2 linked regions of the Rhinolophus ferrumequinum genome follow. The protein of the gene in region 1 interacts with the protein of each later gene in a biochemical or structural test. Links are inferred from orthologs where the notes say so. Each region holds a gene or a part of one and is shown on either strand. Other genes may lie near its edges.

The links.
Region 2: of the proteins of STAT1 (region 1) and PRKCD, one has a biochemical effect on the other in vitro, tested with the Homo sapiens proteins (2 studies listed by BioGRID). The link is inferred for Rhinolophus ferrumequinum from reciprocal best matches to the Homo sapiens genes STAT1 and PRKCD.

Annotation. Positions count from the first base shown.
Region 1 is NC_046291.1:38,074,895-38,083,631, forward strand, and holds the start of STAT1 (signal transducer and activator of transcription 1-alpha/beta), read left to right. Parts: upstream 1-5,168; 5' UTR 5,169-5,324; exon of another isoform or gene 5,325-5,470; intron 5,471-5,620; 5' UTR 5,621-5,781; intron 5,782-8,737. UniProt on the Homo sapiens protein: Signal transducer and transcription activator that mediates cellular responses to interferons (IFNs), cytokine KITLG/SCF and other cytokines and other growth factors.
Region 2 is NC_046300.1:48,622,580-48,630,361, forward strand, and holds the start of PRKCD (protein kinase C delta type), read left to right. Parts: upstream 1-4,401; 5' UTR 4,402-4,637; intron 4,638-4,804; exon of another isoform or gene 4,805-4,827; intron 4,828-7,782.

The sequences.
Region 1 (8,737 bases):
TTTCGTGAGGATGTTTGGACAAGTATAATAGTGCTCATTATAGACATTTTTGGGAAAAAAAGAGAAAATTATAAAGATGTAATCCACCACCCTGAAACATTTAAAATATTTTCCCCCTCTCCTGTCTTTTTCTTTCTCTCTGTCTCAATGTGTTTCCATGTATTTCCATTTCTACATATTCTTAGAGTACTAGGATAATGCTATGTGTTCTATCCTGCATTTTAGTTTAATTTTATACGTGAGTATTTTCCAATGTAACTAAATAGTCTTTGAAAGCATAACTTTAATATTCTATCACATGACTATAAAAAAATCCAAAGAACTGCAGGGAATTTTACAAATCCTTCATTTCATTTCCATTATATTACAGATTAACAAATATGGTTTACTTACACTGATTAAGTGGAATTTGTACTGTTAGATATTTAGGTTACCAACATTAGAAAAAACTATGTCTAAAATGCAATATGGTTGCTGGAAGGACAGGGAATGTTTTTCAACATATTACTCTAGGTTTTTTCATCAGACTTGTAGATGCCGTTTTGAAACAGACCAAGGCCATACAGACAGAACACAAAGCTAGTAAGTTTTTCATGGGTTTGTGATAAGGACACACTGGCTAGTGTACTACTGGGGGATGAGAGACCCCACAGAAAATATTCGTGTTCGGGGAAGGGCAGTGGGCCTGCACCACTTGAGAAAGTTTGTTTAGAATTCAGTAGTAGGATGTTTTGCTTCTCCCCATAAGCTCTGTATCAATGATCTATTGCTGCATAACAAACCAAACTACCCCCAAAACTCGGTGGGGTAAAACAACCACCATTTATCATTGCTTGTGCGTCTAGGGTAGGCTGGACAGTTCTGCTCATCCGGGTCAGGCCACCTGATCTTGCCGAGGCACTCTCACGTGTCTGAGGCCTAAACCCTGACAGTTGCAGGACTCAGCTGTGGCTTGTGTTCTCTCATCCTGCAGCAGGCAAGACCGATTTGCATGGAGGCAGAACAGGGTTCTGGGAGTGGTGTGTGTAAGGCCTCTTGAGGCCTCGGCCCAGAATGACACAATGTCACTTTTGCTGCATAATATTGGTCAAAGCAATTGACAAGCTAGGGCAGTGGAGAAACAGTCCCCATTTCTTGCTGGAAGGAGCCTCAGAGTCACATTGCAAAGGAGTGTGGATACAGGAAAAGGAATAATGGAGCCATTGTTGAAAACAATCTACCAGGAGATCCTTCCTAATATTTTATGATGAGAATATGTAACTGCTAATATATATCTTTTTACTTTGGCTTGTAGTCTGCGTTGTATTCTTTATGTTTCTAGTTATTGTAAATATAATTAAATACAAGTGGGTGGTTGACAATAAAAGAGGGGATGCATGGAGAATAAAAATGACACTGTCTCCTTTTCTCCAAGCAAAAATAAATTTGTTCCAAATGGGAGGACTGGCATGGTTTGTAAGAGCCTTTCCATTATAATGTTGTGTGAATTTATGAGTTACTCCAGGGCCTTTAGTTACTCATCATAAAATGTGGTTTCTAGACTCCTCACCATCCTTGATTTTCCTTTGAATATACACCAGTTGACAGATGGCAAATAGTAAGCTTCATTTTACCTGCCTTTTCTGATTGATTGCTAGTGACCAACTAGATCTAGTGTTGAGTACTATTCAGAAGCTGGCCACTGGCAGCAAAGAGTACCCTGTTGTTTGTTGCTTTTTAAAAAACCCACATACAGATCTTAGCATTTCCTGTTTTAAGTTTTATCTAGTTGGTTTCAGCCTAGCAGCATTCTATCCTGTTCAGATGATTTCAAATTTTGATTCTGTCACCTATGAACTAGTCAGCTATTTCAATGGCAAAACAAACAAATAAAAAATACCTCCGTGACTTACAACAACGACAACAAACACATCCCACTGTCTCCCTTACGGGTGTATGGATGGGCTGCAGCAGTTCTGCTCCAGGTGACTCCACATATCTTTCCTTGCAGGACTCTGGCTGGAGGAGCAGCAGATGCTTGAGCCTGCCGTCTCCTAGTGCAGGGAAGAAGCACACAAAAACAAGTCTGTCACAAAGAACATGCAAAATCTTAGGTCGGTGGAGTTACATTTGCTCAGATTCCATTATTAGAACAAGTCACACAGCAAGGCTAGAGTCAATGCACAAGAAGGTGCACTTCCCTCTTAGTGAAGACACTTAGTGAAGTGTCTATTATAGCATTCCAGTTCTAAAGTGATCAAAGCCTGCAACAGGATATTGTCAATGACTGTAAAACTAAGAATAAAGGCATAGGGAAAGAAGCATCCATAGAACTCCATGACAAAGAATGGGAAGGGAAAGAAAAATATTGACAAATAATATAGTCTACCAGACATGGTATTAGCTACTTTTTTCCTAGATGTGTGCCTTTTGCAAAGTTAATGTTGTTGGTATAGAGATACAGCTTCCCAAGCTGACTATTCTAAAGAGGCCATCTCATATTTGGGTCTGTCATTTTTGTATCCCCAGTTTTTTATTTGATTTGTTTTTTTGATTTGGTTGCTTTTGAAACAGTAAATATATTAAACAGTCACACTTATAAAATACATAAAGTTTGACCCCCAGGAACTTAGAACCTTGGATGGATAAGACTTGGACACTTCAAAAACCATAATATAAGAGAGTGTGTGATGATTGTCAACATAAATAGAGACACTTATATATCATATTATATCAGAGACCAGATTGCTCACCACAGGTCACATGATTCCAGAAGGAGAACATGGAATTTAGGTTTGGTTTTAAAAGTTGAGTTAGGATTTAATAAATGAAGGGAGTAAGGGGCAGGACTAGTCATTCCGTATGTGCAACACTTGCCAGTAGTATGTGCAAAGGAGCAGAACCGGGAAAATTAAAAGCATGAGGGGAGAGCAGGGGACAGAGTTTAGTTGGGTAATGGGACAATGGGAGACAAGGCTGGAAAGAAAGGTAGGGACATTCTGTGGAGGATCCAGACCAGTTTATGTTTATTATAAATGCAATGAACTTTGGCAAGGCTTTTCAGTGGGGAATGACTATATAAATACGGTGTTTTCGAGAATTTAATTTGGAAAAAATAATGGAGCAGGAAAGGCAAGAAGTCTGGTGTCTATTGTAGCATTCCAGTTCTGAAGTGATGAAGGCCTACGACAGGGTATTGTCAATGACTGTAAAATAAGGAGAATAAAGCCATAGGGATGGAAGATCCTAGAACCTGATAACCAGAATGTGGAGAGCCAAAGAGAAACATCCTGTTTACATAGGCTAAGATTATTTAATCCCCCCATCAATATTAAAGCTAATCTATGTACAGATTTTACAATACCAGAAAAAAGGGTATTTTAAACATATTATCTACCCTTCCTGGAGTCAGCTTTTCTCAAACATTGTCTGGGCCCTTAGTGCAGATGAGTAGGAGGGGAAGGGCTCTTTTTGGTAGTTTAGCATCTCTTTTCACAGAAGGCTGCTACTTTCGTACCAAGGGTCATTGCTATCACCAGTTCAGTACTAATTTTGTGAGGTTGAACATGTGACAAGAAGGAGTATATAGATGTGGAGGAGAAACAACTATAGGAGACACATACATAAGCACATCTCTGGGAAATTATTTAGATCCTTTTTCTACCCAAAGTTGCCTTATTATTCAAGGTTTGAGTCAAATTCCATCTACTTGAAGGAACCAACTGATTTTATGGGCATGTATTCCAAGAAGATCTAATCTAGACTGGCCTCAGGGATGCCTGCCTGGGAAGTGACATTTAAGCTGAGATTTTAGCTGAGACAAAAGACAAGTTAGCCATCAAAAAAGTTGGGGGAGGAGGGTGATGGCTTAAAGGGTTTTCCAAATGGAGAACTGCCAGTGAGAAGGCCCTGAGTTTGTGGAAATAATTCAGCTTATTTGAAGAACAAAAATGCTGACGTAAGGAAAGAGTGGCACAAGATGGGGTTAGAGAAAATGATAAGGGAGCTAGTGCTTTTCTTTGTAGGGTATATTAAGAAATTTGAATTTTATAAGAAAAGCCATTAGAGGATTTTCAGGTTGACAAACACATAATTTGCTTTTCAATTAAAAATAGAATCCCTCAAACTGCTGTAGGGAGAATGAATTAAAAGAAAGTTAAGAACTGAAGTGTGGCGGCCATTTGGGAATCCACAGCAGTAATCTAAATGAGACAAAAGGGGGGATGGCATAAGAGATAGTGAGAAGTGAGGAGACTTGAGAAATATTTAGAAGGAAGAATCAAACAAGGCTTGAGGAAGAGGTGTGCAGGGTGAGGAAGAAGGCAATGTCAAAAATAACTCCTAGCTATCCCACGTGTGCCATTTCTAGAAAGAGGGCAGGTTTGAGGAGAAAGATGATGAGTTGGTTCTGAACATCACTAGTTGGCAGAACTTACCGGACGTCCAAGAAGGGAGTCAAGTGGGGGCTGTACACAGGTGTGGAACTTGGAAGGAGGTGTGAACAGGGTACACATACAGCAGCCCTCCACCTCTTGAAGAAAATTGGGACGCTGTGGGTGAGGTCATCACGGGGCAGCGTAAGGAGAAACGTAGGTAAAGCAGACCAAGAACAGGACTCTGACAACAATTAACATTGACCGGCTTGGTAGTATAGGTGGAGCAGAGATGGAGAAAGAATGCTACAGAGGTAGGAAGAAGCAAAGAAGAGGTGTGTGTTCTCATCATGGCCAAGAAAGTGGTGTTAAAAAAATGGAGACATTAACTGTGCAGAAGGTTTCTGAGCGTTCAAGTAGGTGAGAACAGAAAAGCGACCCCTGGGTTTAGCTACACGGAAGTCAGCTGCTAAGTTGAGCTTCTAGAATGACAATGCCCCAACCTGTGTCCTCTGCCTCCGTTTCTCAGATATGGAGCTAATGCAGAGATCGCCAAATTTGGGCCTTTACAAACACAGAACTTCCTTTTAATTGCGCTGTAGAATGTGTAACCATAACCTCTAGTCAGTCAAGTTGCAACACAGAGCTTAGCTTCGCGTCACTGACGTAGGGACCAAGGAAGCACCCGGCGTGTAGGCAAAGCAGCAACCCCGGGGGGAGGTGGCGCGACCGCGGAACAGCCGGGTCCCATTGGCCGAGTGCGGGAGCCCCAGTGATTGGTGGAGGCGGAGGAGGCGGGGCGTCCGGCGCTGCCTTTTTTCTAGGTTGGTGCTTTCGTTTTCCTGCGCAGAGTCTTCGGAGAGGCCTGGCTGCACTTGGGAAGACGCGGGTGAAACCCCAGACAGAGAAGAGGCGGCTGGGTGCGCCCGAGAGAGGCGCCTTCGCCCATCCCTGCTCGACCCGTCGCGCAGAGTGAGCGGGCGTGAGGTTCCAGGTGGGAGTGCGCTGGGACCAGCGCCGTCCGGGCGGGGCAGCGGGACACTGGGCCACGATCGGCTTGGCCGTGCTGCCAGGTGATTCCGTCATCCCGGAAGGAACGCGCGTTCCTAGAATCCCAGGTGCTATTCTCGATGATGGCACGGTTGCCCCTGCCAGTCGAGCTCTAGAAGTAAAGATGTCTTGTAAAATGCAATTATGACCCCATTTACCCTCACTGTTCCCTCCTTCCCGCCCCTTTCCATCACAGTCACGTTATCTTCTTTTCACAGAAAGTTTTGATTTGCCGTGGGTCACCCCTGGAGAGCTAAGTTAGAAAGAAGGTCGCATCCTGTGCATGCAAACTGAGTAGTCTTGACACCTGAAGTGCTGTGTGTAGCTGCTGCTTGGGTTGAATTCCCACCCTGCCCCTCGCTGGGGCATAAGGTGACAGGTCAGTATATGATCATGGAATGAATGAATGCGTACATGACTTTGGAGCTTAATTATGTATCTAGGTTTAAGGAGGAAGGAGCTTAATTTCTTCTTAGAATATAAAAGTGATGTTTTGTTCCTGCAAACCCCCAAATAATACAATTAATCTTAATTAAAAAAATTGACTGATACCAGAGTTTGGGGGTAGATACATAAGTTTGTGGTTGATTGTGCTTTGGATGTTGTTTGTATAGGTTGGAGAGGTGGTTTTTATGGGACATAAATAAGACTTGAGCCTCTAGCACAATACAGTATGCAGTATTGCTTAATGAGGAGGCTTGTTGGGCCGTAATATGGTTTGCCCTTTACTTTCTATTGCAATCTGAAATATACTAGATTTTAATTCAACAAACTATTGTTGATTTATTGATTACATTATATGTGCAGAACACTGTCCAGGGTCCAGAGGGGATATATATATATATATATTTATATATTTATTTATTTATTTTTTTTAAAGGCATAGTCCTTGCAACTCTGGATCTTACATCATGCGGTAGAGACATCACTGAGCTTTATAAAAAAAGACAGGGACTGGTGCTCTAATAGACACAGAATGCGATGAGACACAAGTCAAAGAAAGCTTAATTATCTCTGTGTAAGGCTCTGACAGCTTTATGGAAGAAGGGGCATTTGTACCTACCTTTGAATACTGGTAGGATTTAGAAAGGCAGAAATCTGTAGGGACCCTCTTTTCAAGGGTGAGTGACAGCTGGAGCAAAGCAGAAGTGTTGGGCGTAGCCAAAAATCCATAGATAATTTGGTGACTAGGTTGCTTTGTGAATAGATGAAAATAAGTTTGGAGTGGAAATCGGCCTGGGAATGGGCAAACCTTAGCAATTTTGAGCAAGAGAGTGATGTGGTCCAACCTGTGTGCAGCAGACAGCTGGATTGGGAGATAGAGTTGGAGGCAGGGAGGTAGGAGATCTTGGGACTGGAGAGGAAGGAGTCAGCCTGAAAATTGGGATTTGAGCCTGGTGATTGGGGGACAGTTATGCCAATCCTTGTGTCAGTAACATGTTTTGTGAGAAGATGAGATGGATTCTGGTTTTGTTAACATGGATTTATTGATTGCATGCTCTGTGCCAGGTGCTGTGTCTGTGCTAGTTTATCCACTCTTAACAACCATCCTGTTAGGGAAGTGAATTGCGTGAGGTCAGTTGCCTAATAAGAGCTCTTGCAGCCTTTGCTTGCAGACATTCCTGCTAGCATGTTTGCTTTAGGCATATCCTTATTACATACCTAAGAGGGAAGGAGAGAGCCACAGGTTTGGAGTCTTCTGCTCAGGTAAAACAGATTTCAAGTGAAAGGAAAATTGCTACAGAAAGTGTGCCAAAAGGGTAGGCATGGGTCCATTTCTTCTGGTATTTGTGATGGTAACTAGCTTTTTAGTCCCACCATATCATTACTTCCCTTTGGAAGGAAATTTGTGGAGTAATCATGACTTCGTGCCTGCATACATGTATTCACCAGCAGGCATGCATACATTTTTCCATGCCCTGCTTGAAAATCCTGACCCCTTCCTCAGAGGCCTGGTAGGATAAGATTCGCTTATATCCACTCTGAATATTGTCAGATGTGCCTGATGTAAATCCTAAATTACACTGTGGTGATGGTTTTCCTAATGAATGTTAAGACTTTCTTAAATCAAGTTTTTGTTTTAATTTTTAATCTTTAGAATTGCTATGTAAAAAATGACTTACGATTATCCAAAGAGATAGTATTAGTTTATCCTTTCATATTAAATTTAACAATGTTTCTTCAATCTTTAAAAGCTATTACTAAGATTTAAGACTTTTTCTGCCAGATTTATTGTTTGCAGTTGGCAAAGAAGAAAATATATCTCTTTTAGAAATAAGAACAAAGCGGGAGGTATCACGCTACCTGATATCAAATTATACTACATGGCAGCAGTAATCAAAACAGCACAATACTGGCATAAAAACAGACACATAGGTCAATGCAACAGAATAAATCCATACCTATATGGCCATTTAAATGATGACAAAGGAAGCAAGAATTTACATTGGGGGTAAAGACAGTCTATTTAATAAGTGGTGCTGGGAAAACTGAATAGATACATGCAAAAAAATGAAACTGGGCCACTTTCTTATGCCATACACAAGAATAAACTCAAAACGGTTTAAAGATTTAAATGTAAGACCTGAAACCATAAAACTCCTAAAACATAGGCAGTAAATTCTCAGACGTTACCCTTAGTAATATTTTTACACATATATCCCTTCGGGCACAGGAAACAAAAGAAAAAATAAATATGGGAGTACCACTTTGAGCACCTCTTGTAATTGCAGAAGTCAAATGTGACTTGTATTTATCTTCTGTTATTGGTATATATTAATACGTTTTTTTGCTTTCTTAAAATATGTATACATTTTTGGGCATCCTCTCTCCGTGTGTGTTTGTGTGTGTGTATTCTTTAAAAGGTATGTAACAAAAATACTTCATTTTACCCTATAAATCATAAAGTATAAAGTACCAGTTTAAAATTCTTTGAGTTAAATTACAAATGGACTGTGATTTGTAAGAGAACAATTTTGGGAGTGTTCTTACTATTTGTCCTAAAGTAAATCTAATTAAATAAATAAAATAAATGTTTTCCATTTATTTGATAAAAGTACAGATTTATTTAAATGGCATACTTACTAAATACCTACTAAATGCCCAGCACTGTTCTAGAGATACAGCAGTGAACAAAACCCCCCAAAATCCTTTCCTTCATGCGGGGAAAACAATATTCAAAATAAAAAAGAAAATGTGTGGTGGTAGATTAGATGTTGGTAAGTACTATGGAGATAAATGCATCAGAAATAGGGATAGTGTTTTCCAGGATGAGAGATGGTGTCGGTTTAAATAAGGTGGCGAGAAAGCCTTTCCTGATACGTTGACATTTAAGC
Region 2 (7,782 bases), on another chromosome or scaffold:
GGGAATCCCTTGGGTCTGTGTGCGTCGGGATAGCTGTCGCTCCGTGACTGCCCCTTGGCACACCACCAACGCCCAAACTGCCTCTCCTTCAAACCTCTTTGCGGGGCTGCGGGTTAGGCAAGCCAGAAGAGGGGACTCAGAGGGGCAGGGGTTGTGCAGTGGTCAGTGTAGGACTGGGGCAGTCTGGGGGCTGCACACCTCCGTGGGAGCCCCAGGAAAGATCTGTGCCCTGCACTCCCAGAAAGTACCTTCCCTTTGTCTAACCCAAGTATTTCTCAAGCTTCACTCAAACACAAATGAGCCCCGGACGGAACTTGGGTAGGACCAACTCTTTGGCAGTTACACCAACATAGATTGAGCCTTGCACCAGAGCTTCATGAGCTTGATCTCTTCCATCCTCTCAACAAACCATCAGGACAACACAGTAGTACCTCGGTTTTTGAATGTCTCCGTTGAACATTTCGGTTTATGTATGCCATAAACCCGGGAGTAAATGCTTCGGTTTTCAAACACGCCTCAGAAGTCGAACATGTCATGCAGCTTCTGCTGAGTGCAAGATCCTGAAGCCTAGCTGTTGGCTGTTTTCAAACGTTTCAGAACTCGAACGTTCTTCCGGAACGGATTATGTTCGAAAACCGAGGTACCACTGTATTACTATTATTATCTCCAATCCACAGATGAGGAAGGTGAGGCACAGTTAAGTCACAGGTCCACGGCAGAGCTGGGATGTGAACCTGGACCCTGCAGCCCCTTGGCCTGGCACTTCCCTACCATGTGGCACTGCCCCCAAAGTCACTGCCCTCACTTGCCCCCTATCCAGTGCCCAAAGCCGAAATCCTTGCTCGTGACCATTTGGTGGCCTGAGGCATGGCCACTGACTGGTTGGACCATGTCCCAAATGCCCTTCTCTCCTGCTCTATCCGCAGTGGGACCTTCCAAGGCTCTGCTACCCCAGCAGTTACTCAGGCACACCATCCCTGCTGGCCTGCGCCTCCTTCTCCGGAAACATGAGCTCACTCTCCCTTGGCCAGGCCAGTGCTCTGGGTGTGATGGGGATGGTGCTGGCAGCCAAAGCTTCAGGGACAGGGATGGTAATACAGAGAAGCACAAACAGAGAGTAAGAGGCAGAAAGGCCAGGACAAGGACCAATTCTACACAGGGATCAAGTGGGGGACCCTATCCTGCCCATAGTTGGGCAGGCCCAAGCGATAGAGGGAGGTCCAGGCCTTTTCCAGGTTGCTTGGCTGAATCTGGAACTACCTGTAGAGGGGCTTGGTGGGGGGAGGCCCCCAGGTTCATGGCCTCTGGGTGGAGTAGGAGTTGCAGGTTGACCCTCCTCTGGACAAACCCTCCAGGGAGCCCCAGAGGAACAGCTCTGTGTGGATGCTGGGGTAGGAGTCTGAACACTACCCAGTGCTACCCCTGATGGGCCCATTTCCTTTGCAGCAAACCTGGAGGAGGAGAAAGGGAAAGTACCACTTCTGGGTGGCTGCTATGGGCCTAGCCCTACTTGGAGATTTATGCCCCATGTCACAAGAGGCTATCGAGGGCTCTTCCAAGGCTGACAGCCTGTGACTCAGCAAAGTGACCATACCTGGCCAATGTGAGCTGAGCCCTTAATGGGTGTCCACACATATCGTCTCACCTCACCTTTTACTCAACCCCTGACATGGGTCTGTCATCAGTCCCTTTCACAGTTGAGGACTCAGGATCAAAGAGGTGTTGTCACCTGCTCAAGATCATACAATTAGCATGCTGTCACACAGCCAAGGTTTGCACCCAGGCCTCAGCAGGCCCATCTAAGGTTGGGTCCAGGTAGGTTATGGGGGCACAAAGGCAAGCTCATCTGGATCTTGCACTGGCCCACCCAGTGTGGCACCTAAGAGCAGTTCCAGCATGCAGAGTGGCTCCAGCTGAGCTTGACCTGGATTCCTGGACCCCACAAATGCCTGTTCTCCCTGGGACTGTTGGTCCCACAGTTTGATTCTGGAGGGAAGCCCACCTGCATCCCTCCTCTGCCCTCATCATAGTGTGGGCTCTATAATCCTGAGGGCCAGGAAAGTGCTTCCTGGTGTCTAATTTAAATCGTTCTTGCTCCTGTCACACCAGCCCCACTCTAAAGCAATGGTTCTGAACAAGGGGTGATTTTTGGCGCCGAGGGGATATTTGGCAGTATCTGGAGACATTTTTATCTGTCACAATTTGAGGATGTGCTACTGGCATCTAGTGTAGAGGCCAAGGATGCAGCTAAACATCCTGCAATGCACAGGACAGTTCCCACAACAATGAGTTATCTGGCCCGAAAGTCAGTAGCGCTGAGATTGAGAACTCCTGAACTAAAACATGGGTTTTGGAGCCAGTTGGAATTCTGCCTCTGCCATTTACTAGCTGTGTACCCTTCACCAAGGGGCTTTATCTCTCTTTGAAAGACTCAATTTGCCCATCACCAAAAGTGGCACTCACTAATAGTGGCCCTCATCTTAAAGGGTCTTGAGGACCAAACAGATTCACACATTCAGTATCCAGCAAAGGGCCTGGCACCAGGGAAGCTCCGTCAGTGATAGCCATTATTCTTACTTTCCATTTTCCAAGGTGAACCTAAGGTGTGGGAATAAAAGTCTGGTGGCAGAACCTGGAGCTCCCCATGGGTCAGCCCTCCCCTTCGGTGGTCTCTGGCACTGGGTCAGCCTATTGTTGATGTTGTGGGAGAGGCTGGGTTGGCCACTGGATCTGGAGGGAGGAGCCAGAAAGGAAACTTGATCCCAGGTGGGCAAAAGTCACCTGGAGTCACCTTGACTCACCTTTTTCTCCAGCCCAACCCCAGGGAAGTCATGGGATTGGGGCGGGGAGACCAGGACACAAAACAGGCTAATGAATACATAGGAATACAGTTCCTTAGCTCAGGGAAATGCCATGGATTCACAGCTGGGCTCAGGGAGAGAAGCATTTAAGTGATCACAACCCAGACAGGTAGAGATATGGGGGTGGGTGGGAAATGGCATCGTGGCCCAGGGAACAGCATGTTCAAAGGTTTGGTTGTGAGGTAAGGCATAATGCCTATTTCCCAAATGACAGTCCAGTGTGGTGAGAGCAGTCCAGCTTGGTGGAAAGCTGGGTCTTCCTTCCCAGGTGTAGGGCACCAGGGCCCCCCTCTCTCTGTGGTGGGAAGAGTCATTGCAGTTTTTCTCTTTGCAGTCCAGACACTTCCCTTTGCCCCCGCCTGCACACACTTAAAACAGAATTTCAGGATCCACATCTCTCTTAGGGTTCTCAACATCCCCACCCGCTATTCACACAACCCTGTAAGGGACCCATCTTACCCAACCCAGGGTCTTCCCACCTGAAGAATGTGACAGCCCTTCTGCCCCATCCAGCCCCCTCCTTTCTCCTTCCCCTCTGTCCTATGATCGCCCCAGGAGCGCAATCCGTTGTAATAGCTGCCACCACCTGCTCCTTGAGAAGACTAAAGCCAGCTCAGGCCTCCTCAGGATTGCCCCACTCCCACCCCGAGTTTCATCCCTTACTCTTCAGCTGGGAAGAGCAGTCTGGACTCTTCTCATCCCCTCTAGAGGTTACCGCAGGAGGCCTGAGACCCGGAACCCTCTTCTATGCCTCTGGAAAGTGGCATTTCTTTGGAGTACAAAGCCAGCGGTTTGACTTTCTGAGCTTTGGAGGCAGAGGAAATGGACTCCCTGGACCCCACTCCGTCTCCAGACTTCAGCCCAGGGAATACTCAGTGAATGAATGAATGAACGAACGAATGAATGAGTTATGCCTGACAGCCAAGTTCCAAGTCTGGAAAGGAAGCTTAGGCGCCTACCCGGGGCGATGGAGAGCTCTGGAAAGCCCGGCCGGGAGAGCGGACCACTGGGGCATCGGGTTAGGGATCGCTCTCAGAAGGGTCTGACCAGCCGCAGACCAGCTAGAGCCTCCCGCCCTGGAGTCTTCCCAGCTCGTGTAGGGGCAGGGCCGGGACTAGCCGGCCTGGCGGCGGGCACCGAGCCCCGCCGCGTCTGCACTCCAGTCAACAGGAAGAGAAAGAGAGAGGCCTGGCGTGACTGGCCAGCAGGCTGGTGGGGAGTCCCGGGCGTGGGCGCCGGGATCTGGGGAACCCCCGCGGGCGCCTCCCGGCTTGCGTGCTTTGGGGTGGGGGCGGAGGTAACGCCCCCTCCGTCGGGCCTCAGCGTCCTCTGTATGATGCGGCCCCCTCTAAGGGCTGGTACGTGAGCTGATGGGAGACCGGGGTCGAGGTGTGAGGGGAGGGCAGAGAGGCCCAGACACTGAGTGACTCGAGCAGAGGCAGAGATGCTGGACCCCGGCTCCAGCGCGCGGAGGCGGGCCTTCGAGGGGCAGGCCCTGATCCGGGGGCGGGCCGGGGCCGGCACCTGGGTGAGGTCGCCCCGCCCCGCCCCCTTGTACTTCCGTGTGCAGCGGCGCGGGAGGCGGCGGCCCTGGGATCCCCGGAGCGACCCCCGGCACCCGCCGGTCGCGCCGAGGCGGGGACGGTACTTCACCCGCCGCCGGGCCCGTCCGGGTCTGGCCCCACCAAGACCCACGTCTGAGCGCACGCCCAGGAGCCGCGCCGGGAGCCGGACCCCAGCTGCCGCGACCCCTGGCGCCTGGCCCTGCGCTTGGAGGTGAGTGAGGGCCGGTTCCAAACGTGGGATCCGAGCTACCCCGAGGGCGCGCTGCCCCTCCCTTCCCCCTCCCCTCTCTGGTTCCCGTTTCCGAAACTGAGAAACTGATCCGCCGCCAGCGAAAGTGTCGCCGCGCCCCGGGACCCGCCGGTGCCTCCGTACCCCCGTCTGTCTGTCCCTCGGTTCAACGGTAGGGGCCGAGGCCCTCTTGTCCGTCAGCTCCCAGCCCCACTACCCGCCTGTGTCCCCATCTCCTTCGAAAGTCCACCCGTCCCTCCCGAATCTCTGGGGCCCTCTGTCCGTCCATCTGTCCCCACCCCCTCCCCCCGTCCGCCTCTCCCTGGTCTCTGTCTGTCTTTCACCCTTCGCATGCCCCTTCGCCCCACCCCCATCCCCCGCCGCCCCCTAGATCTCGTCCTCCGGGAGCCGCGTCCCCGGCCAGCGCTCGCCGCCCCTAGCCTGTCCCGCCGCCTCTCCTTTTCTACAGCGCGGCCCAAGCCTGGCGGTCCGCCGGGCCTCGCCTCCCGCCTCCCGGCCCTGGGTCCCAGCCCCGCCCGCGCGGTGCCTCCTCCTCGCTCTATCTCCTTTCAGTCTCTGTGTCTCTCGGTCTCTCCATCTGTCTCCGGGCTGGGCGTGGCTCGTCTCCATCACCCTCCCCTTCCCGTCTCGCCCTTTTGCTCCTTTGAGCCCCCTACCCTGGTGGCCTGTTCAAGGACTTGTCTGCCCCAGGCCCCTCCGCAATCCAGACACCACGCCTTTGGGGTCCCAGACCGGTGAGGGGAGACGGTGGAGGAAAGTGGGGTGAAGAAGGTGGGCACCTTCAGAAGTGCCCCACTTTCCCACCTCCCCCACTGAGCCCCCACTTAAAGCTGATCAGAAGGATTTGCTGTGAGTGGAGGGCTGACCCCCTTCTCCTCTGGCCCCTGCCCTGTATGTATGGATCCTGTCTTCGTGAGCTGGGTCGCTTGTATGTCTAAGCGTGTAAGTATGTTGTGTGTCTGTGTCCGCTTGGGTGTTCTTTGTCGCTGTGTTTGGAGCTTGCCCCTGTGAGTCCTGTTTCTCATGTATGATTTGCCTCTGTGTGTGTGTGTGTGTGTGTGTGTGTTGTGTGTATCTGTTTGGGTGTTCTGAAGCTCTGTGTGCCCTTTGCAACTATGTGTATACATCCCTGTGTGTTTGGAGGGTCCTATGTTGCACTGGGTGTGTCGTGGTGACCCACTGGCCCATGAGTATATTCAAGCTGTTAATTGTGGGAGCCCCGGTATTAGGGTTCCAGCCCACCAGGTTCATGTGTGTGTCTTTCTGAGTGTGTTGTGCGTGTGTGTGTGTGTGTGCGCGTGTACGCACACACACTCACATGTTGTGCTTCCTCTCCCTCTGCTACTGAGCCACTGTGATCAGGCTGACCAAGTCACCAAGAGAGGGGACTGTTCCATCAGGTTTCCTTGTTCCTGCTGTGAACTGAGTTGGGGTGTGGTGGACAGGCCAGCAGAGGGCAGCTGTGGAGAGAGAGAGTGTGAGTGTGAGTGTGTGTGTGTGTGTGTGTGTGTGTGTGATGTGGAGGTTTTGGGACAGCTATACCTGGCTGTAGGGTGTTGTATGGGATCTGGTGTATGACAGGACCGGAGCAGGGAGCAAGACGTGGTGTGGGCCTATGACTGGTGGGACACTCACAGTCTGACTGTATGAAACTGTGAGTCTGTGTGCTATGGGAGTAACTGTGCTTGTGGGGAACTGAGAGTGCTTGGGCGTGGGTGTCAGGAGCAAGAGGGGATGAAACAAGGTGTGTGGTGCCTGTGCCCTGGGGTGACAGTGTTGGGAGGAAAGGTGAGAGCCCCAGTGTGTGGGTGTGCACGCATCATGCTCTAGCCCGGCCCTGGCTCCTGGGGAGAGTAGGGAGACCTTCATTTCTCACCTTCCTCTACCCCCCCAAGTTGCCAGACACCAGAGGACAAGTCTTGGGGTTTGTAGTGTCATGACCAAGACCTTGGACTCTGAACCCAGAGAAGACCTGGGCTTAAAAGAGCAAGAGACCAGAGCTAGGCTTCTCTAAATCTCTTGCCTTATCTGCGGAATGGAGAAAGTTGATGACTAGAGGTCCTGTGTCACAGGTCCTTTAGCACAGCCTTAGCCCATAGTGAGAGCTCAGCACATGCTAAGTCTTATTTGGTGACCACCTCCCCCCAGTTGTATGGTCCCTATTCTCCTGGGAGCTGGGGCTAATAAAAGCCCAGATAGTCCCCCAACCCAGTATCCTCCCGGGGAATCTGTCTCTTGTCTGCCTCCCTTCCCTTTGACCAGGCAGCTTGTGGGAGGGAAGACGACTGACAGAAACCCTCCCAGCATCCAGCCCTGTTCATCCCACATGATGACACCCCTCCCCCCAGTCTCAGCAGCAGTGGTGGAGAGAGCGGTGAGGGGTGATTTGGAGCTGTGACTGCAGGGCACTGACACCATTTAGCTGGCACAGCTAATTGGAGTTTAAATTAAAATTAGAAGTAACTTAAAGTACAGACAAAAAGATAAAGCCTGAGGGTGTCTCGGTCCCCAGGGAATGGTGATGGGAATCTTCAGCTGGAGGAGGGGCTCACATCTGAAGAGGGGCATCTTTTGTGGAGGCCTGGCATGCAGAAAAAGTGCTCAGGTCTTTCAACCTGGACACCCAGGGCACCTTGCTGCCTTTGCTATTCCTTCCTTCCAGGAGCTCCCTGGGCCTCAGTTTCTTTTGGCTGTATAATGGGCACAATGGGTAATGTGAGAATCACTTCTACTAGAAGATGCAAAGCAAGGAACAAAAAAGTATCACTATTCACTTGGCACTCCCAGTATGAGTCCAGCACAGGAACTGGCATGTCACATTATTGGAGCCTGGAAACCACCTGGGAAGGTGTATTCTCCCCATTTTAAGATGAGACAAACTTGAGGAATTGTCTCAGGCCATAAGGCAATGGTACCTGATTGCACCCTAGGTCTCCTAAGCCCACAGAACAATCTCTTGTAGACAGGAGGATTAGGAATAGCTTTCTTCTGTGTCTGTAGCTTGGAAGGGTTCTGAGGGCTGAGACAGTATTCCAGCCCCTAGCATGGAGTGGATCTATAGCCAGTGCCCTGGAAAAGCTGGGCCCAACACCCCATTTCACAGAAG